Oreochromis niloticus: one gene and its partner. The protein of the gene in region 1 interacts with the protein of each later gene in a pairwise test. Links are inferred from orthologs where the notes say so. Each region holds a gene or a part of one and is shown in the gene's direction. Other genes may lie near its edges.

Region 1 (10,630 bases):
TCAACAACCCTGAAAATCAACATTTGTATATATTGACTTTAAACTGACTGGGTGACTTTATACTGACTGGTCCCTTGGAGGCCAATCCATAACTGATACTCTTTACTTGTGTGTTTTTTCTGTCCAGGTATGCTTTTACTGTATTGGCATGTGTATGGAATTATTGCCATGCTTAAAACTGAAGCCACTGTCAATCAGACACTTACCAGATGGTATTGCATGGTGTCTTAAAATTTGTCTGCACTTTTCTGCTTTGCAAATTTCATCAATTTTGACAGTATCTTCAACTTCACTGGCTGAAGAGCCATGTCATCTACCCTGTGTTCTACAGATGACTGTAGACACTCACTGTTGTACCTCTATCCTGACTTCATTTGTACAAACCGATAACGATTTGAACCAGAAATTTAAAATTTTGATTCATGACTCCATACGACCTGTTACCACTGATTTTCAGTCCAATTCTTGTGTAATTTGGCATACCTTTTCTTCTTGTTCCCCTTCCTTGGGAATAGCTTCTTGACAGCTACCCTTTCATTTCCAAGCACATAAGTTTTCAATAGTTTTCATATGCTGTGAACAATTCTTTTGGCCTGCCACTTATTTATCCTCCACTTGTTCAGTTTTCGTCAGATTTTTTTTTAAGGGCACACCATACCAAGATATACCAGGTCTCTTTGGGTTAGTGCAAATATACTACCTTACACCTGTGTGTTACTTTTGGTATTTTTTTATAGATTTAACCAAACAAATGGGGAAAAAAATAATGTGCTAGGTGTTTGTTATATGTATACACAACAATGGTTCATCCCTTGAGTTAGGTGCCTTTTTATGCTTGAATGATTCATGGTTCATTAACAAATGGCTTAACAAAAAACTAACAAAAAAAGCCCAAAACAAAACATAAAAAAAATCCTCTGAAAATGGTGCGGTATAAGGACTGGACTGAACATAAGTGAAAAACTAGCCAATGTCCAAATAAAAGTGTTGCCCAGCAGCATGCTTTGGAGACTTAAACTTAAAAGCTGGCAGCTAGCTAGAGAGCTATGATGGCTATAACAACAGGAATGATATGTTTGTGTTATATTTTCAAGAACTTAAAATTAGAAATCATCTTAAAAAACAATCCTGAGGAATTATTTGAGAACATTTACAGCCTCATTGTGATGGAATGGTGACCTGTCCAGGGTGTACCCTGCCAAAGCTGGGATAGGCTTCTGTCCTCTGTGACCCTAGATTGGATAAGTGGATGAAAATGGACAGATGGAATATCCTGCACCTCTTTTGTCATGATTCCAAGGTCTAAAACCTGCAATGCATTTTTTATATGAAAAAACAGAATTTAAGTTAATATCTCTATTTTACTTTTATCCATTTTAGAATAATAGTGTCTAGTTCTACAAGCACCTAAACAAATAGATTCTAACAACGGCAGCAACGATCTTATAGTGCTGACATGTTCAATCAAAGATAATTTTAGTTACTTATCACCAGGTGGCAGTAAAGGTCAGTATATGATCAACAAATATTGATGCGGGACTGAAGTGAAAATTTCACTCTTCCCTTACATGGAAATATGTTGACCAGTTTTTAATAAATGTAATTACTCAGACTTCAAATCTTTAAAAATGTAGTTTTTATTTATAAATGAGGATAAAGGACTCACGCTAACAAACAAATTGACTTGATTAGCAGAATTTAAAAAAAACAATTGGGATTTTATTTTTACATTAAAACACAGTTTCCATGTAAGTTACTTACCAGCTTGACAGTCAAACTTACCAGGAGACTATTGAAAAGAATGTGTAGCCAGCTTTCTGTTGTTTTGCCAAATACAGGAAGCAGTTAACATGTCTGCACAGCTTTTTGATTGCAATGTTCCACTAAAAGTGTTTTCTTTTAGGATAATAGTGATTATGGGAGGATCCCAAGAGTAAATGAAGCTCCCTTTCAGTGACTCATTTCCGCAGCCTGCTATATTTCAATCGAACAACGACTGACCAGCCGTTTTCTAGTAGAATTCTAGGGTGGGTCCTCATCTGACCTCTGACCTTTACAACAAAGCTTTTTAGGTTAAAAGCACAACTCAGTTTGGACCTTTGTGGTGCCGGTAAACAATAAAACATTTCTAGACCTTTTGCTGTTTAGGAGGGGTGTGCTAAACCGGAGCTAGCTATCATTTCACTTTAGATTGGACAGGAAGTAGTTGTTTTTACTGATGCTGTTCCAGAGTTTGCACAATCGTAGAGTCAACACCATGTCCATAGTCTTTTACTTTGGGAAATTTGCCTGCAAGAACTTTCAATATTTTATTTCTTGGGAAATAAATTCCCATTCTTTGCTGAAATGATTAGCTTCTGTATGATTTTACTGTTTGCTTAGCAGCAATGTTTTTTTTCCCCCCGACATTCCACACTGCTTTCAACTCCATAATGCTCTCAGTACAAAACAGGCAAAACAGGAAGTTGGACATGCACTTCCCTAAAGGTTGTCTACACTCTTAACTGTTTGCTCCCCAACTTGTACCCCAGAGAGGAATAAAAGCTGAAAATAGCAAACCACATTTCACATAAAAGGTCACTATTGCCCTTATTTTAAATGCTATAAAGTTCAAAGCATGAAGTGTGAAAATCCCCCGCCTTTCAGTTTTATTACAGAAGTAGGGTGACACATGGATGTCAGATCTACAGTAAAGTGCAGCTCCTTTCTGGTGGCATTTAAGAAGCGTTAGAACAGAGATATGGGTTTTACCACCCAGTCACAACAGCCTCGAGTTGTCTATGAGAATACTTTCTCCTATCACCCCGAGCCATCTGGAGTCTAGCAGTCTATCTGGGAAACCATGAGAAGGGTGCCATCGTGCATGTAGGGGGGTAGGAAGTGAATGCAATGTGCACCAACCCTTCAGGAAAGCTTCATCTCTGCATGCCAGTTTGAACATCCTCTGGGCTCTCTCAGTCAACTCCACAGGAAGTAGTGGATGACTTGTGTCATGTCAGTGCTGATTTTGTATTCTCTCTTGTGTTTCTCATCTGTCATGAATTTGTTCATGTGCTTTGTGTTCATGCAACGTGGCAATCTGGAAGGATTCAAATATTATCACTACACATGTATTCATGGGTAGCATTGATTGTGAGCCTCAATATTTCCTTTGTTTGATTGTTTCAGAGAGGAGAAAGTTAAAATACCAAAAACTAAAAAAGACTATTACAAACCACCACCATTTAGCACAGTCAGTGCTAAATGAAACTGTTGATATGTGGCACCGTAAATTGGCACTCAGTCAATAAAACTTTAGCTATTTAATTCATTATTTGATTATTTGACATCATTGAAAGCTCAAGAATAGTGCAAATCATTTGATTACAATACCAAGGGAAAATTGCATTGTTCATATGGGTGAAATACTTACTTGATCCCCTGCTGAATTTGTAAGTTTGCTCACTTCCAAAGAAATGATCAGTCTTTATTTTTTATGGTAGCTTTATTTTAATGGAGAGAGACAGAATGTCGACCAAACATCCAGAAAGAAAGAAAAACTTGACTTAATACTTGGTGGAGAAATTGTTGTTGCAAACAGCACTAAGATATTTCTTGTAGTTGGTCAGGTTTGCACACATCTGAGGAGGGATTTTGGCCCACTAGTCTTTACATAAACTATCTAAATACTTTAGGTTTCGTTGCTGCTGCTTAGAAACTTTAAACTTCAGGTCTTTCCACAGAATTTCTATAGGATTGAGGCCTAAAGACTAGCTAGACCACTCAAAGATGTTAACATGCTTCTTCTTTAGCCACTCCTTCATTACCTTGGTGATCTCTTTGGGTCATTGTCATGCTGGAAGACACATCCACAGCATATCTTCTGTGTTCCGGCTGAGGAAAGGAGGTTGTTGTCCAGGATTTTATAGTACATGCTCCTATACATTTGCTCCTCAATGCAGTGAAGTTGCCTTGTACCCTTAGCAGAAAAATAAACCCAATGCATAATGTTTCCACCTCCATGCCTGACTGTGACGATGGTGTTCTTTGGGTCATACTCACTTCTCTTCCTACAAACATGGCTGGTTGACTTGATGCCAAAGAGCTTGATTTTGTTTCATTTGACCACAGCTCTTTCTCCCAAGACTTCTCTTGCGGGTGAAAGATTTCAATCCATTATAGTGTAGTGTGTTGACAATGGTGTTCTGACTGTGGTCCCGACTTGCTTCCGATCATTAACAATCTCCTCGCGTGTAGTTTTTGGCTGATCCACAACCTTTATCATGATCATCCTCACCCCTTGAGGCAAGATCTTGCATGGAGCTCCAGATCGATGCTCATTTTATATTTCTTCCATTTCTGAATAGTCACATCAACAGTTGTTATCTACTCACCAAGCTTCTTGCTGATGGTCATGTGGCTCATTTCAGCCTAATGCAGGACTAAATTTTTGTCCCTGACATCCTTTGCCAGATTTTTGGTCTTGGAATGGAAAAAAAAATGATTCAGTGGATAGTTGTGCTTTGTATACATAATAAGTTGAGATCAGGATTATCTGTAATTGATTGACTGATTGTAGTTTATGTGCCACATGGCAAGCAGTCAATCTGTGGGAACCAACCTGGATTTTTGTTCTATATTCTGTCTCTCTATCAAAATGAAACTGCCACAAACATTAGAGACTGTTCATTTCTTTGTAAGTGAGCAAACTTACAAAATCTACAGGGGATAAAATAATGATTTCCCGCACTGTATATAAGCAAGAGGGATTAACTGCATGACATTTTTATTTAGTGAAGATTAAAGTCACTATAGTCAAAATGGTCCCTTCATTGTGTTATTGTGTTGTACAAAATCTGAACGTGTTTCTCATCTGAAGGATTTGTAGTTTGAGTTTTATCTCTGTCAAGCTGCTCTGCTTTCTGCGTAGCTGGCACACAACAGCCATGCTCACCTTGCTCCTGGGCTTTCTCAGCTTGGTATCAATCCAGTGAGTCTACTCAGCTCTCCAACTGTGTGGCCCAAGGATGCTTTCAGCCTTCATCTTAGAGTTCGCCTGTGATCTTTTTCTGTTACATTTGGCTGCAGAACTGATTCTGGGTGCTGGAGTTTAGGTGCTTTATCTTCCCTGTCCAGTCAGACTGCTGTCGGTGTCCCTCCCTCCTACAGGCGGCCCTGAGGCACTGGCAGTAGATAAGAGAAGGGCCCACAGCAGCTCTGGTTTGAAAAGGAAAAGCCATGAGGACACCAACTATGTAGAAATATCAATGCATTAATTCCCCACAGAGGCAGCTTTCACAAGCTCTTTTTTTTTGGATTATTTCTAAGCACAGCTTAATCATATCTTCCTCCAGCTTCACAATTTCTCTGAGCTTTGTGTAAAGAATCAGCAAGTACACATATCAGAATTTTACTGTTGACATAATTGTTAAAACGTCAGATGGAAATATTAACATTAAAGTAATTACTAGTGAGTTAACTGGTGGATGGACTGCTACTTATATAGTGCTTCATACAAGCACTTTTTTTTCTACACTTAAGTGCTTTTCCTCACTTTTCGAGAGCAACTTCGGGTTCAGGATCTTGCCCAAGGATAATCTGGCATGCAGACCGGAGCAGCCAGGGATCGGACCAATTAGTAGGTGACCTGCTGTACCTCCTAAACTACAGCCACGCCAATTAACCTAAAAATTATTAGTTTAGAAGATATGTGATGCAAAGTTATTGCTCAAACTGTCTGAAAATACTCTTGTGCATAATCAGTGATCTAAGATTACATTACAGAGAAGTTACGCAACAAAAATAAAAATAAAAAGTAAGGGACTTCCCTGGTTGTCTGAAAAGGCCCTGGCAATTGTGTTTTCAGCTGTGTGTTTATGTAGGACCTCTAAAATATAAAATCACATTTTAGGAAGTAAAATGAAGTCCTTGGAATTTTTTTCTAAGTATAATATAATAAATCCACTGAATTCAAGTTCACATTACTTAACGCAGTGATAACCATCATCGTCTGAACCCTTACAGAAAGTGACCGTCAGAACCTTTTAGAACCGGCAACACCTGGGGCATAATTATGAGAGAAAACACAAATACTCCTCCCCAAAGAATTAGACCGTGCCACTCTTTATCTTTCGTCTTATCTGCACTCTGGCGAAGCAAAGCATAATAATCATTAGCCTCAGTCACGACCCACTCCACGCCTGACAGAGCAAGGCCGTGTTAAGCTGTCGCTTTAAGACCGATTTCCCCCCATTGTCAAACAGTCGTGAGCAGGAAGAGGGAAACGAAAGCACAGCCTGACTAGCGAGAGAGAGGGGGTGTGAGGAGGGGAAGGGCGCGCGGGGAGGGGTGGGGGGGGTGTATTTAAAACACGATGCTGCTGCTACTGCACAATAACGGTGCCCGCGGCTTCATGTGGGTTCGCACGCCTATGAAAAGGCACGAACACGGAGAGCCACGTAAGTGACCTTCTGATCGCATCACACGGCGTGTGCATTTTAATAAAGAGCGGACAGGCAGCAAAGTCCCTGCGGGGTGAGGAGACACACTTGGAAAAAAAGACGCGAAGTCTCTCCGCGGGTCACTGCCTCAGGAAATGATGACAGTGTCCTCCATCACGGCTTAGCCGCTTAAAGCGAACACTTCTCGTCTTGCGGCCATTTCGTCTGGACTCAGCTGCCTTCGATTGAACACGTTTGAAAGCCTGACGCGGGCTGCTGGTGGTGCTGGTGGTGCCCCAGAGGTGGAGCAGGTGCAGCGCCCGCACGCAGCTTCGCCTCGCGGGTCCCCACTGAGCTTGCTGGCCAGTGGACCAGGCTGGACATCATCTTTGAAGAATGACATCCACGATAGAGAGGAAGACGCTGGAGGCCAGCGAGTAAGTAGCAATGAATGATGTTAAATAATGTCATTTCTGATTCAAGTAAAAGTATCCGTGACGCATCAGCACTCACGGGACAGCCACAACTCTCCGGTGAGACAGCTGCAGAAAGCTGGTAGCATAAGGTCTGAAGTCTCCTGCTGTTAGATTAAAAATGTCAAAGTTTAAGAACAGAGTGATGTGTTAATGTTAATAGAATAGAATAGAATAGAATAGAATAATCCTTTAATTGTCCCACAAGGGGAAATTTGGTTGTAACAGCAGCCAAAAAGACACATATACAAACAAACAGTACACAGGACACAGAACAGAAACATACACAATTTTTCTTACATATTTACATTAAGGACAATGGTTACTATATACAGAGAGTACTGTACAGTTATTAAATTAAATATAAATAACTATAGATAAGAGGCAAACCAGGTTGTAGTGCGAATCGGTTAATCGGTCTTGCGAGGAAAAAGTTAAGAAAAAGTGGAGCGCTAAGGCACTCCTAGCGTAAATCGACATTTAAAAAAAACAACCCAATATTGTGTGACATACTTTTTATTAGTTAGCGGTTTAATATCCAATGGCTCCCTCAGGTGGACGGGAATAAAACACATCTGCGCACACAGCTCCAGCTCAGAGACCGATCAAAGCTGAAATCATTAGAAAAGATATACATGTGTTTGTGTAGCACTTATTAGATACAACACAGTGTGAATATTGATGCAGAACACTAACTGTGCCTTTAGATCAGGAAATGTTTGTTTATTGCATAATAATAGCAAAATATCAACAGGTCACCAGTAAGTATGTGTCAGAGCTAGAACAGTTCTATTCCAGTATTTGATTCATCAGTTAGCAAACTGTTTGGGAGACCTGCATGTCACACTGACTAACTAACCAATCACACAACTGAGGGAAACCTTTGCAGATTAACTGATGAAGGAAACAAAAATTTGATGCTGCCCTAAATCCTTATTGCTTTTTTTTCTTTTTCCAGGGAACCGGTGGATGAGGTCCTCCAGATGCCTCCATCTCTGCTGACATGCGGTGGATGTCAGCAGAGCATTGGTGACAGATTCTTCCTGAAGGCCATCGAGCAGTACTGGCACGAGGACTGCCTGAGCTGTGATCTGTGTGGCTGTCGGTTGGGGGAGGTGGGCCGCCGGCTCTACTACAAGCTGGGAAGAAAACTGTGTCGGAGAGATTACCTCAGGTTGGTTCAGTTGGTGTAATGTAGTGATATTATGAATTAATCAATTAGGTCGTCACCCTTTTAGTTAAATTACACACAGAAAAAGAAGCACTTTTTGAGATGCACTAGTATGTATATCTTTTATCACACCTTAAAGGCTCATGGAGAAACACTTTGAGCAAGTATAGAAATTTCTAACCTATTTCTACCTGTAACTTTTTTACTGAAGAAAGTGTGGACAAGTTGAAATAGATTCAGGAGAAGAAGGCAGGTCTTTGTTAAAGAACTAATGTTAAAATTTGATATGATATGTAGCTGTGTGGTGCACAGCCACATATCAGGTAAACACATTTACCTAACCTATCTCTGCCTGAGATACAAACTCAGGCAGATGCACTGGGGTACTCCTCTCAAATATGTAGTATCAATCAGTGGCCGAACCTGTATGATCGGACCTGGCTTGTGAATGCCCTGCATCACCACTTTAAGGATATGTGTTGCTTTAATGACAATGCATTTCCGCTTTATTTATTGCAAAATGAAGTTTGTGTTGCTCAGTGGTTTTCAAACTGTGTGCTGGGTCCCCCTGCTGGCGTGTAGTGCCACTGCATGAGGGGGTGTGGATGACTTGGTGAAAAATATGGACCGAAAGTAAAGCAAATCTGTAGAACTTATGTGTAAAATAAACAAACAAGAAGCAGGTAATGCAGTCCTTCTATACTTTTGCACCATTTCCCAGAAATTCAGCTCTGATCCATTTATTATTGCTAATAATTGCTAAAAATCGTGGGTGGTTGTGTGACATTTTCAGCTTCTGAAGAAGAGCAGGATAGAAAAAGTCTGTGAAGCACTGGTGATGGCTAATTTCCTCTCTAACAGCTCAATCCCTCAGGCTCAGGGGAAAGATCCAGAGTACCTTAATGGAGATACTGTCAGTCTCTCTTACAGCTTCACATCATTAAGAGCGAGTAAATGTTTTCCATCTTCCTCCCAGTAACATGTTGATGCCCTCTCATCCACTCAGGCTTTTTGGCCAGGACGGTCTCTGCGCTTCCTGTGAAAAGAGGATCCGAGCATTCGAGATGACGATGCGTGTGCGGGACAAGGTTTACCATCTGGAGTGCTTCAAGTGCGCTGCCTGCCAGAAGCACTTCTGCGTGGGTGATCGTTACCTTCTCATCAACTCAGACATTGTGTGCGAGCAGGACATCTTTGAGTGGACCAAGCTCAACAATAATAATATGGTTTAGGAGGATGTCTTCTTTCCCCTTGATTCAAAGGGAATGGACTACTGATAGACATTTCGTATTTCCAATGCAGGCTTTATAATGCATTTGAAACCAATATGGGATCATAAAAAAAAAACAAAAAGCAAACGAGGGGCTACGTCTCTGCATGTCTCCCTGATGGGGACTAATGAAGACTGCACCAGCAATAACAGAGAGCTTTTTTTATTGAAAGCAAAAAAAATAAATGCTCCAATACTGACAATGTTTAAAAATGCAATATTGGTCATTTGTTGTACACTGGAACTTTAGAACAAAAACAAGATAAAAATTATTTGTCCAGTTTCTTGCAGTCTTTACACTGAGAAGATCAGCAGCTTGGTTTTATGGATTTGTAATTTCTTAATACTTTCCCAGCGCTAATTATTTTTTAACTTTGTTAAAAGAATGTGTCTCTCTCTAAATCTAAACATACATTAACTGAATGCTTGTTCATTGTAACTGTAATATGTTAAAGCAGTGGTTGTCGGGCTTTATTTTGCATGCCTCCAGTAAGAAGCTGAGAAGAGATCACCCACCTTATCACTTCCACTAACATATATTTCTTCATATTTTTATGAAACATTAACGAAACAAGCATCGAAGCTGAATTTAAATCAAATTCAAGTCATCATTATAGCGTACCAATTCATTCAACTTAAATTTAGTTGATATTTTTCCACACACAACCGAGGTCCACTTGACAGTTTGTAAAACACTCTCTTAAAGTGATTGTTTGCCTGTGGACAGATTTAAAATGCTCAAATGGCCTGCTGCATTGGCTGTTTCACTAGAAATGAGGTGGAATGAATGAAGTGGATGTATGCTGTGATCGTTTCTGAAAGTTTTCATGAAAATTTGTGAGAATTTATTAGGAAATTACAGACCTGTGATTAAAGCATTACCTGATTTTCATATTATGAAAAACAACATCCACTTATTTAACAAAAAAAAAAAAAAGTTCTGATGAGAATGATTATGTATTGCCAGGTTGAACTGGTGGCGCCCTCTACTGGTCAAGGAACCCATGCAATTCTTGTTTTACTGACTTTGCAGAGGTTTTGCATGCATCTTTTGTAATTTTACCTGTTCCCTGGACATCCATTCAAGACTTTTTGTATATTAACCTTGAATTTATTTAATAAATGACAATTCAGAGCAATACTGATCATCTTTGGGTGTCTTCCTGGCAGTCACAAAGAAAAAGTCAAACAGCTTGTGAAATATTGATGCAGATACAATTTGTAACATTTTATTTACCAGAATAACCACAAATAATACGTTAATTATGGTCAAGATAATCTCTTTTTATGCTCCGAG
Region 2 (10,349 bases), on another chromosome or scaffold:
TAAGTTGGTGGCGTTCTTCTCCATGATCGACACATTGAAGCGGAATATCTTGGGGGTGATGCCCCTGGGGCAGTTGGGGAGGTCATCTGCAGGTAAAATGGAAAGAATGACATAAAAGATCTGATTTGTTTTTTTTCCTGTATTCCCTTAAGCTCCTACTTCACTGTGAAAAGCATATTTTCACACTGACATCCTCACAGGGGTGGACATGTTTATTGAGCCGATAATTGATAAACCTTTTGCCGAGGATTCCCTTTCTACAAATTTGAATAGTTTAAAGATAAAAACAAAAGTTCTATTTTTTTAAAAGAAAAAAAAAACAATTTCTAGTCTATCAAGGGAGCCATTACCGCAAACCATCTGCTTATGCTTTGTGCGGTCCGAGTTAGCAACAAGTTGAAGTCATGAAATGAAAACCAAATGTCCCATGTGTTAGTGGAGCAGGCTACAGTGGGACAGCAGCGTGCTCCTCCTCCCACCAGCACTTGAGCCCAACAGGTGCTCCGAGGGCTCAGCCAGAAGCCAAGTATTCCCTGGAACTCAGAGGTTTAGCTGGGAACATGCAGGCTCACGTGCTGGAGGAGAACAGCACCTGAGCAGCCACCGAGGAGAGAGAGACTCCACCACACCAGGGAGAAGCAATAACTCACTGCACACCGTAACATGGTGCATGTGTGTGTTTGCGACTGAACGCTGACCTTTAGCACAATCGGCCCAATGAATGGCCACACCGCGATCCCATCTGAAAAAGCTTCCTGCTGCATTGAAGACTTTCTCCTTTTTATACCATAATACCATAGAGCAGTTTATTATTCTAACAGGCCCAGCACATGCAGTGTTGAGCAAAACAAGCGCATAGCAAACTTTTTATGAGCCAAGTGGAAACAGTCACTTACAGCCAAGCCATGGCTAATTTATTACTTCAAGCTTAAGCTTTATTACCAAAGCCTCGGATTTGCTGATGGCTGAAAGGGGCACTGCACCTTTAGCTGATTTGCACCTCGAGCAGATTTGGGACAAATGGAAACTCAGAAGTGAGGCCGTTTTCTGTGTCATGCAAAAGGAACTTGCACATCTCCGAGTATCTGTACTTCATTTGACCCATAATCCTATTTCAGTGTCCTCCCAGTCATTATCTGATATTTCCACAAAGTTTTTTTTCTTTGATTTATTCAGCTTTTTATGTTATTTCAGTTGTCCCCAGATATCTGTCATTAACCTCAGTCCTTTCCTCCCTCACTCACTCACTGCTCCGTCTCCCACAGAAGGTGGAAAGCCCCACTTCGGGGAGATTGAAATTCTAATCAAGTCTTTGGTTTCCTTTTGGATGACTCATTTTTCCCATGCAATGTTTTAGTGGATTTCACATTATGGCTTATTTTTGCCAAGGGTCTGAAAGGTAATTTTATCTGATATTTCCACAAAGTTTTTTTTTTCTTTTTGATTTTATTTCAGCTTTCCCTATTTATAGTTTGACCTTTCAGCATTTGTCCCCAGCCAGATATCTGTCCAGCGTTTCCACACAATCTATAAGGAGGAAACCTCAGTAGCCCTTTTCCTCCCCTCACTCACTCACTGCTCCGTCTCCCCCACAGAAGGTGGAAAGCCCCACTTCGAGGGGAGATTTGAAATTCTAATCAAGTCTTTGGTTTCCTTTTGGATGACCTCATTTTTCCCATTGCAATGGTTTTAGGTGGATTTCACATTATGGCTTATTTTTGCCAAGGGTCTGAAAGGTAATTTGTTCCATGTTGGTGAGTGGAAGGGGATTGCTTGTATAATTAAAATGAGATACAGTCACAAATTGATTTGACCACCACTCTCGACTCCCCCGTCCATTTTTAGATGATAGGGTTTAAGACTGAGTATCAGGATGCTGACACAAGCTTAATGTATTAACTGTTTGACACGGCACAGGTTATGTCAATAAGCTTCTCCAGAGTTTAATTTCTACTAGTAAAAAAATCAAGGTGTATAGTTTTCCATGCCAAACAAAGCAATACTCTATATTTTAAACACTGTATAAGTAATTAAAACGACTTCTGATGTTATTTCTAAAGATTTTGTAAAATAGCACACTGCTCTAAGGTCAGAGCATGCTTATTTTGAGTTTTATTGGGAGAGGCTGTCATTAACACGTCTGCAAAAGTGTATTTATAGTCACACTTAAAAAAAACCTGGATAACAAAATGATGCCCGCCTGACTCCATTCTCGCATTATCACCCAATTAATTTGAACATATGGGTTTCAAAGGAGGGATTAGGGATTAAAGTTGTCCAAAATGCCCGAAGACAGACATTTGAATAGTTGCTGCTGCCTCGCCCAGACGCTATCGACCACACCTCAGCTCCTGACACGCGTTCAGCCTCCGGTGTCTGGAATCCTCTCCATGACACGGAAGCTCCCGGAATGAAGCTCTAAGGAATCACCTCTCTTTGCTCTTTTGCCCAGAGGATACTTGTGATGTCAGTCTCTCCACAGCTTTGTGGACGTAAACAAAGGAAACAGAAAGCACAAGTCAGCAGGTGCTAGCCAGCTGCTGCGGTGTCTAAATCTCATAAAGCAGAACAGAAATTGCATTAGCTGGAGTTCTCTTATTATTTTCCTGAAATTGCCGCATCTGGGATGTGAATTTGCATCATGCTCTAATGGAAAAGTTTGATTTCCCCTCCCCAGTTAGCTGAGGGTTTAGTGTACCAAATTCAAACGTTGCTTTTCATCAGAAACAAGTCCATATCTACATCGGACTGCAGATATCAGCTATGGCAGTGTGGAGGAAACAATGCAATGAATGACGACACCCCCTCCCCTTCCCCCCCACTCTCCTCCTACTGGATTGAAGATGAGGAAGCAAAAATGGTAAAGGCGTGGGAGTTCGATGGAGCGATGCTGTTTCTTTGGAAGCAGACCAAAGACCTCTGTCTCTGTTTGTACAGATGACATCATCTTTCTACTATCCCATATATCAGACACTGCTGTCCTCAGAGCTGGTCCTCATTTTTTTTCTACTGACCTAACACTGAGTCAATGATTGGCTTGAAATTTCACTGAGGCTGCACGCTCCAATGAGCTAGTCAAGGCCAGTCAGTAGACTCTTAAACTGTTATTGTGTTACAGGTCGCCCCTCAGTTCAAATATGTCTTTATCTAATTTCCTCAGCGGCACTATTCACACTGGCCTTGTGATGCACCAGGAAAAAGAAAAGGAAAGGAAGCTCCAAATTCCTGTTCTCACTCAGTTTTGTTTCATCTGCTCATAAATGGGTCAAAGCTTTGAATTGCATCGCATTGCATTCGCAGTAGTGTCTAGCAAAGCAGTCTGGGTGCATGCGTCGCATTAAAGAGTGTGTGAGAGGTTTCTGTTTAACTTCCTAACTAAGCACGGAAAAAAGCCAAACTTGACTTTTTTCCCCAAACACTCCCACCTTCCAAAAAGCGGCGAATGCAAAACTCATTAGATTCAGCAGGAATGAAAATGAACTACACAGCAGAAATACCAAGGTGACAGACATTATGTTTCTGCGTACTGCAACATGCCCAGCTCTCCTTAAAATTACATAATGGAAAGGAAGAGAAGACTGCTAATTAATGCATGTGGCACCTTCTGTTAATTTAAACAATCTGTGAGTAAGTAAGCTGTTTGGGAAGAAAGTGCTGCCAGTGTGTTCATGTCTCGTATTATCACCTACATTATGGCCCACGGCGTGAGACCAGTGATGTGTCCTGGGCACCTGGCCATCACTGATCCCACTCCTTAGACCTCTGTTTGTTTTGGGAGCTCTGACTACCTCTGACCAGTGGATAAACCCCGAGCTGTGTATTTTGAATGTCAGAAGCACTTTGTGGGACCTGTGAAATGGATTTGATTCAGGGCTTATGCTGGAACCAGCAGAGGTTCTGCTCAGCGTCACAGCATTGCACAAACACCTGTTGATTTCAGAATCACTACACCGTGCGCTAACCGGCCTCTGACCGTGAGTGGGCACCAATCCAACTGCTCCACTTAGGCTTTCTCTGGAGAATCTGCAGCTCAGCGGGCTTCTGCTTCTGATTTCTGGAACAATCAATGGGCCATAGTTTATACAGGAAATACCAATATGGATGAACGAGGGAATTAGATCATAACGCGGAGCTACTTGAAGGAAATAGCGGGGAGCGGGGGGGGGGGGATAGAAGTGAGTGACAGTGGAAGAAAAAATATTGGGGATCTCACGGCCAGAAAAATGGAAATGAGGTATTGGAGTTGGCAATAAATAGCAGATTTAACAGCCTGAGAATTTTCCTCGCTTAGGAATGTGTCAGACTAAGGCTGGGGTTCCCATGGATTTGGTGTGAGGTATGCATGAGGAATTGTGCTCATTCCAATTAGACTGTTTACTTTGCCCTTTCCTCTGCGCGACGCCACGGAGCGTCTGCGCGTAAAAAGCCGCACAGAGAAGAATGGACTTTCACACCAACCGGAAAAAAATATTTGTCTTTCACTTTTCCCCCCCTTGTAACCTCGCGTAATGATTAGGTTTGACATCGTGGCAAAGATAAAAAGCGTTTGCGTTTGGGATTGAGTGTGGTCATCAACTCTTCTTTAAAGTTCAAAATAAACCACAATTACTCACCTGCACCTAGAACAGGAAGAGTTTCTACTTTATTGGCTTATAAAAGAAAAATGGGAACATTCATAACCCAAAAACAGTACACTCACTGTTTTCTTGTGGCCCATTGATCATGTTGAACTTGTAAATCTCTTTGGCGTAGTACTCTGTCTCCGTGTTATCCTGTCCGCAACTCTGCTGCCGGTCTTTCCCCAGCTCCTCAATGAGCTCCTTGGTGCTGTTATAAAGTGCCAGAACCTGAAACGGTACTTGACTTGGACCTGTTGTTTGAGGCGGACTGGTCAGTCGGAGTTTACTGAGAATCTGTCCCCGGACGGCCTCCACTCTCTTTTTCTTTATGTGTTTGATGTCCACTGTGGTGCAAGTGGATAGCAAGAAAGTCACTGTCACACAGTTTGAGAGGAGGAAAAACAGAAGTGCTTTGCCCAGATTCATATTTCAATCTGCGTTCGCTCACAGCCGAAGCCTTGTCAAGTAATATTAGAAGAAGGAGAAGAAAAAAAATATCCCTTTTTATCTTTTCATTCAGGTCGCGAGTGAGTACTGTTCCTGGAGGAATCCCATTTTCTCGAGTGCTATGTCATCTTTGCCAAATGCGTATTTGCATGGGAGCGAATCCGCGCAATTGTGCAAAAAGGTCTCGACTCTTCAACAAAACTCTTAATTACACTCTTCATTCCCTCTTGTCTCATTCAGGCATCTCTCCCCCTCTCTTTTTCTTTGTAGTTTACAGGGGCCCGATCTCTGCACCGCCGTTTAGTTGCTCCATTGCATTTGGTCTTTCCATCCACTTGTGCAAATATGTATAAGGAGTCAGTGCGTCTTTGTTGTCTTCTTGCAGTCCAACCTCAAACACACTAAAGACGCTTTCCACGCTCACTCATACTTTATACCCACCATCGGTGACGTTTCTGAGGGAGGGGCCGCGAGCTATAGACCGAGCGCGGACAATGTGCTCGGTCCCACTCCGTAGTAAGATAAATAAGACTTTGAATTTCATGCTGCCAAACAGTGTTTGAATCATACGCAGCGTAATATTGGGCAATAAGATTTCGCAAGAGAGAAGGGTTGCAATAGTTTGTCAAGTAAATAGCTGCATTTTATGGATGTGGCTGAAATTAAGTCACGTTCTGTTGTGTGCCCCACGCGCGCTCCTAGCAGTTTAAAAATCTAAACCTGGAGAGGTTTACGTGCTGAATATTTTTTAATCGTGGGCAAAATAAAGTGCTAATGAAGTAAAGTTCAAAGTTAACATGCAGAACTTCTGAGGGTGCGCAAGCCAGCAGCACGCGGTCCTCTGCAGGCTGCTACCGTTCAGCGCCTCCCCAGTATCATAATGAAAGGAGACAGCGACATCTCGCGGACCACGCAGGGAATTGAAGGTACAATTTGATTTCATCTTTATTTTTTGCCTGCTTTCTCAAATTAGATATTTTGCGCTGAGAACAAGAGTATCACTTTATCCATTTAGAAAACAACAACAACAAAACAAAGAAACAAACAACATAAATATAAAATAAAAAGCGACAACAATACCTCCTGTTTTTCTTCAGTAATGTAATTTTTACTCTTAAAAAATGAATTCATATTATGAGTTTAAAAAAAATATATATGTATATTTTTGCCTGTTTGTTTGTATTTCTGGACGTAATTATCCAAGGATTTTTTTTTTTTTTTTTGGACACACCATAATTATCTGTTGATTCACCATTAAATCAGAAAGAAAAATGGGGCAGATGTTCGGAGTAGGCGTCTTATTTATTCAACAGTAATGTCTGGGGAGCTCCAGTAGAACAAGGAAACATTGATATCATTACCTAATATTCGTACTCACATACAAACGAGCAGCATGGGCGCTATAGCAGATTCCCTATCAATATCAATACACGCATCTATTTATTTGTTTGTTTACTTACTAACGATATTTGGGGCGGTCCAAAGGCACTTTCCTCCTGACTTGCGTTACCATGGAGAGCGTTGCTGTGTGACGCCTGGTGGTATCCAGGAAGAAGGTGAACTAGCTGGTAGGAGAAAAAAATGGACGATAATTTCCAACAAGGCAATGGTGGAATGGCAAGAAATGTAAGTAGGTTGTTATATCATTAAAATGCACATGGCAAGGTAATGGGAGGAAAGTAGCATTAATTCTGAGCTATTCTGGATGAGTTGAGGGCACTGTATAACGGTGCAGCGATGCTAGTTAGCTAATTAGCTTTCTGTTTCGCTAATGCGAGCTTCAGTAATAGCCAGTCAGTAAATGATATGCCAGTTTAACCTATCAGTTACCTGCTCATTATCATCGTCATTCGCTGTTTTTGAGCACTGGCAGCGGGAAGGTTTATCTGCATATTCAGCTAACTTTAACTTCTGGGTTAGCCACAGATGATGCTAGCTGTAATTTCCCCCACAAGCATAGCTGAGTGTTTTGGTAGCTTCGTGTAAACTCTGACCTGGTTCTGTGTCTGGCATTACTCCCTCAGAAAACGTACAGGAAACATGCATACTGTGGTCCCACTGCTACCAACTTTCTCCATAAAAGGCAAGAATGCCTGCTGTCCTGATAATGTTTCGGGGATACAGTCATCTCTTTTTGTTGGTGCTTGTGGTTCACACACGTTCACATTTCTATAGACTACACAGAAAACATGACTTCAAATCTGAAATAAGACCAACCACTTTTAGTTGGCAAAAAGACAATGTCTCATTCGATTTATACTAGGTGTCTTTGAACTAATGTAGATATTGATAAGTTTTTGTTGATAGTAAATCCAATTTTTTATTAATCATATAGGTGGTATTCTTTGTGAATCTACTTTTTTTTATTCCTCCAACATGTAAGCTTCATGGGTCACTCCATGGAAAATGGGTGCCTCCCTCCTGAACCCCTCAGAATCAGATGTTTTGTTTTTGTTTTAATAACTTTATTTATTGAAGCCATGCAAAATTCTGCTTATATGCTGTAAATGTTTTCCAAGTTACAGGTCCTTGAAGTACAAAGGTGTGGGTTGAGATTTGACGTTTTTTTATTTCCTAATTTTTTTCTAGCAGTTTGAGCCATCATACTCTGTTACATATCTGAAGCTAGCCACTTACGATTTTCATGGCTGAAAAACAATTTTAAAAACTGTAGCCACATCACTTGTACCCATTCCAAGTTTCACAATCTAAAACCAAAATCTTGTTTTTGTTCTGCAGCTATGCAAACCACACCCGTTCATAGTTGTCTTTCACTCAGTATTGTCATGGTTTTAATTTCTTGAACAGATTAAACAGGGGTGTTAAGAAATGATTATATTGAAACCGAAGAATTATGGCTAGAAGATGAGCCTGGTATCAGAATGTAGGTAAAAAAAAAAAAAAAAATCTATCTTTGTTTCTGTTACTTTACATCATAGACATTACATTGATGGAGTTTTGCTATTTAAACAGTGATCTGTGGAAAGATATTGATGCTCAAAGTTGTAGAAATCATGTCATGCTGAACCAAAATAACATTTTGGTTTCCAATTGTAACATTTGGAGTGGGCGCTGTTTTTAAAAGAGCTTAAAGGTACAGTGTTTTAAAATCTCACCACTAGATATTAGTAGATTGCAAATTGGTACATAATCCACTATCAAGAGGGAAGGTGTGATTTTTTTAAGGACACTTGAGCCTAACATTAGCTGACATAATGTTAGCTTATATCCAGCTGTTGTTGTTGTTTAGCTGGCTTGTTGTCAGCTGTCTGGAGCAATGACTGTAGAAAACAGTTTTCTACAGTCATCGGTCTGAAGATGGGAGGGTCACATGTCTAATCTTCTGATAGTAAGTAATTGCGACAATATTAGGAATAAATTGGCATGTTTTCATGTGTTAGAGGATCAGGCTTGAGGTGAGGAGGAAGAAGGGGAAATAAGGTAGAAGAGATGGCACTGATGACGGGAAAAGACATAATGACAAAGATATAAAAAATATACATGTGAAAATGTTAAATGGCCACATATAATTTGAACGATCTATTTTTGATCTTTAAATTAAAAGTGTCTTATATGGTGTTTTCATTTTGGCCACTCTCCTGCAACATACATAAAAAGCAATTAGGCGGAAGTGCGATGTCCATCTTGGCCACTGTATTCAAGATGGTGGGGCAACGTGGCAACTTCCACAAACCTAATTATTTTAGTTTATGAAAACACACCAATTTGTTGGAAGGCACGGATACACACTATTCAGTGTATATTTATATGTACTACATTGTCTTTTTTCTGTAATCTCAAAAAATTACTTACTGTATTTTTTTTTTTTTTTATTCCTGAAAATTTCTTGTGCATCTCTTGTACTTAAGAAGTCATGAGGGCTGAATAAACCAAATCTAAAAGCACCAAATTTTGACCTTCTCCTGCTTTCTTGCTCCTAGGGCCTGTAAAATGTTCATAGTGGTGTAGTACTTCTAGCTGCTCGGTTATTCCCAGTGGGTACTACAGCGAATGGATCCACATATGGGATATGGCACAGAGTTTACAAAAAACGGTCCTTTCTGACACAACCCTCCTATTTATCCTTATCTTATGACTGTCTGAGGCTGGGTTGTGTCTTTTCCCAGGATGTTAGGGGAATGTTGAAAACACTACACCACTGACCCACCGGACGTTTTCATAGTATGGAGGTAAAAGTTTTCATGGCTTCGTAAAATATTCTGAAGTTATTGTGAAAAAAACAAGCAAACAGCTATTTCAGATTTTTGACATCATTTCAAATCTTTAAAATCTCTACATGTGTGCATGAGTGGAAAACAAATGACTCAGGTGTACAAAAGCTCCACTTCCATGAGTTTGATGTCATTGTTTAGCAATGTGCAGCTGTTGGAAAAAAGAAAACATGCCAGGAATTGATAAGGTTGGATGCAGAAGTTTCCAGAGAATTAGACCGTTTGGAACCTCCTTTTAACTGGAACCTGTTCTTGATTCCCATCCCATTTTCAGAAAACATTTAATGTGACAGTTAAAGGAAATTAAAACCACAAATTATTTTGTAAACCACAAATAACTGTGCCAATGTCTGTCACATACAGTGGTTTTACATGTTGAAATTACACACATTTCCCAGGTTGCCAAGTCTGGACGAAGAGCTCGCCCTGCGGCACACCAGTCATCGTTTGAAGAGACTCGTCACATAAGGAAGTCCTCCACCTCTGCTTCAGCAGGAGAGGTATGCAATCATGTGATAATAAACCTCTGCATGTTATAACATTCATTTACAAGGTCATAAATATGCATTTTGGTCTTGTCTCATACATGAATTACAGGATGATGATGAGGTAGGTAGCATGAACTAAGCGATGACTTTGCATGGCTTCTAGTCCTAATGCTCAGCTTATCAACTTTATACCATTTCCGGTTATCTTACATTTCTTTTATCATGAAGTTGTTTACTTCAGTTCATCTGATTAGATTTGATAGGACTTAAATTACAGCTCACCTCGAAGAGCCAGCTTGACACACATGGTATAAAGTTTGATTGGAGTGCATAATGCAGGTGATGAGATGTTTGAGTTGCTGTTTTTCTACTTTAGCAGGTTTTAAAGTGCTCCAGAAAACTCAGAATAGCTGCTCTTTATTTGTTGGCCTGTATATGTTGGATCTTATGTGTTGCATTAAGGGTTTGAAGTGTTACTTCATATAAACTCTAAATCCATTTAACCTTGTGAGTCACAAAACATTGTAGTCGTCTTCAGTTGGCTTATTTAGTATCTACCAGCA

The links.
Region 2: the proteins of lmo2 (region 1) and ift43 interact in binary tests that used the Homo sapiens proteins (3 or more experiments, as listed by UniProt). The two-hybrid records come from large-scale screens. The link is inferred for Oreochromis niloticus from reciprocal best matches to the Homo sapiens genes LMO2 and IFT43.

The regions. Positions count from the first base shown.
Region 1 is NC_031972.2:49,578,117-49,588,746, reverse strand, and holds lmo2 (rhombotin-2), read left to right. Parts: upstream 1-6,363; 5' UTR 6,364-6,815; coding exon 6,816-6,856; intron 6,857-7,850; coding exon 7,851-8,066; intron 8,067-9,069; coding exon 9,070-9,295; 3' UTR 9,296-10,472; downstream 10,473-10,630. UniProt on the Homo sapiens protein: Acts with TAL1/SCL to regulate red blood cell development. Also acts with LDB1 to maintain erythroid precursors in an immature state.
Region 2 is NC_031983.2:10,402,427-10,412,775, reverse strand, and holds the start of ift43 (intraflagellar transport protein 43 homolog), read left to right. Parts: upstream 1-6,537; 5' UTR 6,538-6,647; coding exon 6,648-6,692; intron 6,693-7,090; exon of another isoform or gene 7,091-7,149; intron 7,150-9,193; exon of another isoform or gene 9,194-9,250; coding exon of another isoform or gene 9,251-9,256; intron 9,257-9,696; coding exon 9,697-9,798; intron 9,799-9,895; coding exon 9,896-9,907; intron 9,908-10,349. Other genes in the region: tgfb3 (transforming growth factor beta-3 proprotein), read right to left, coding at 1-86, 4,700-5,045. UniProt on the Homo sapiens protein: As a component of IFT complex A (IFT-A), a complex required for retrograde ciliary transport and entry into cilia of G protein-coupled receptors (GPCRs), it is involved in ciliogenesis.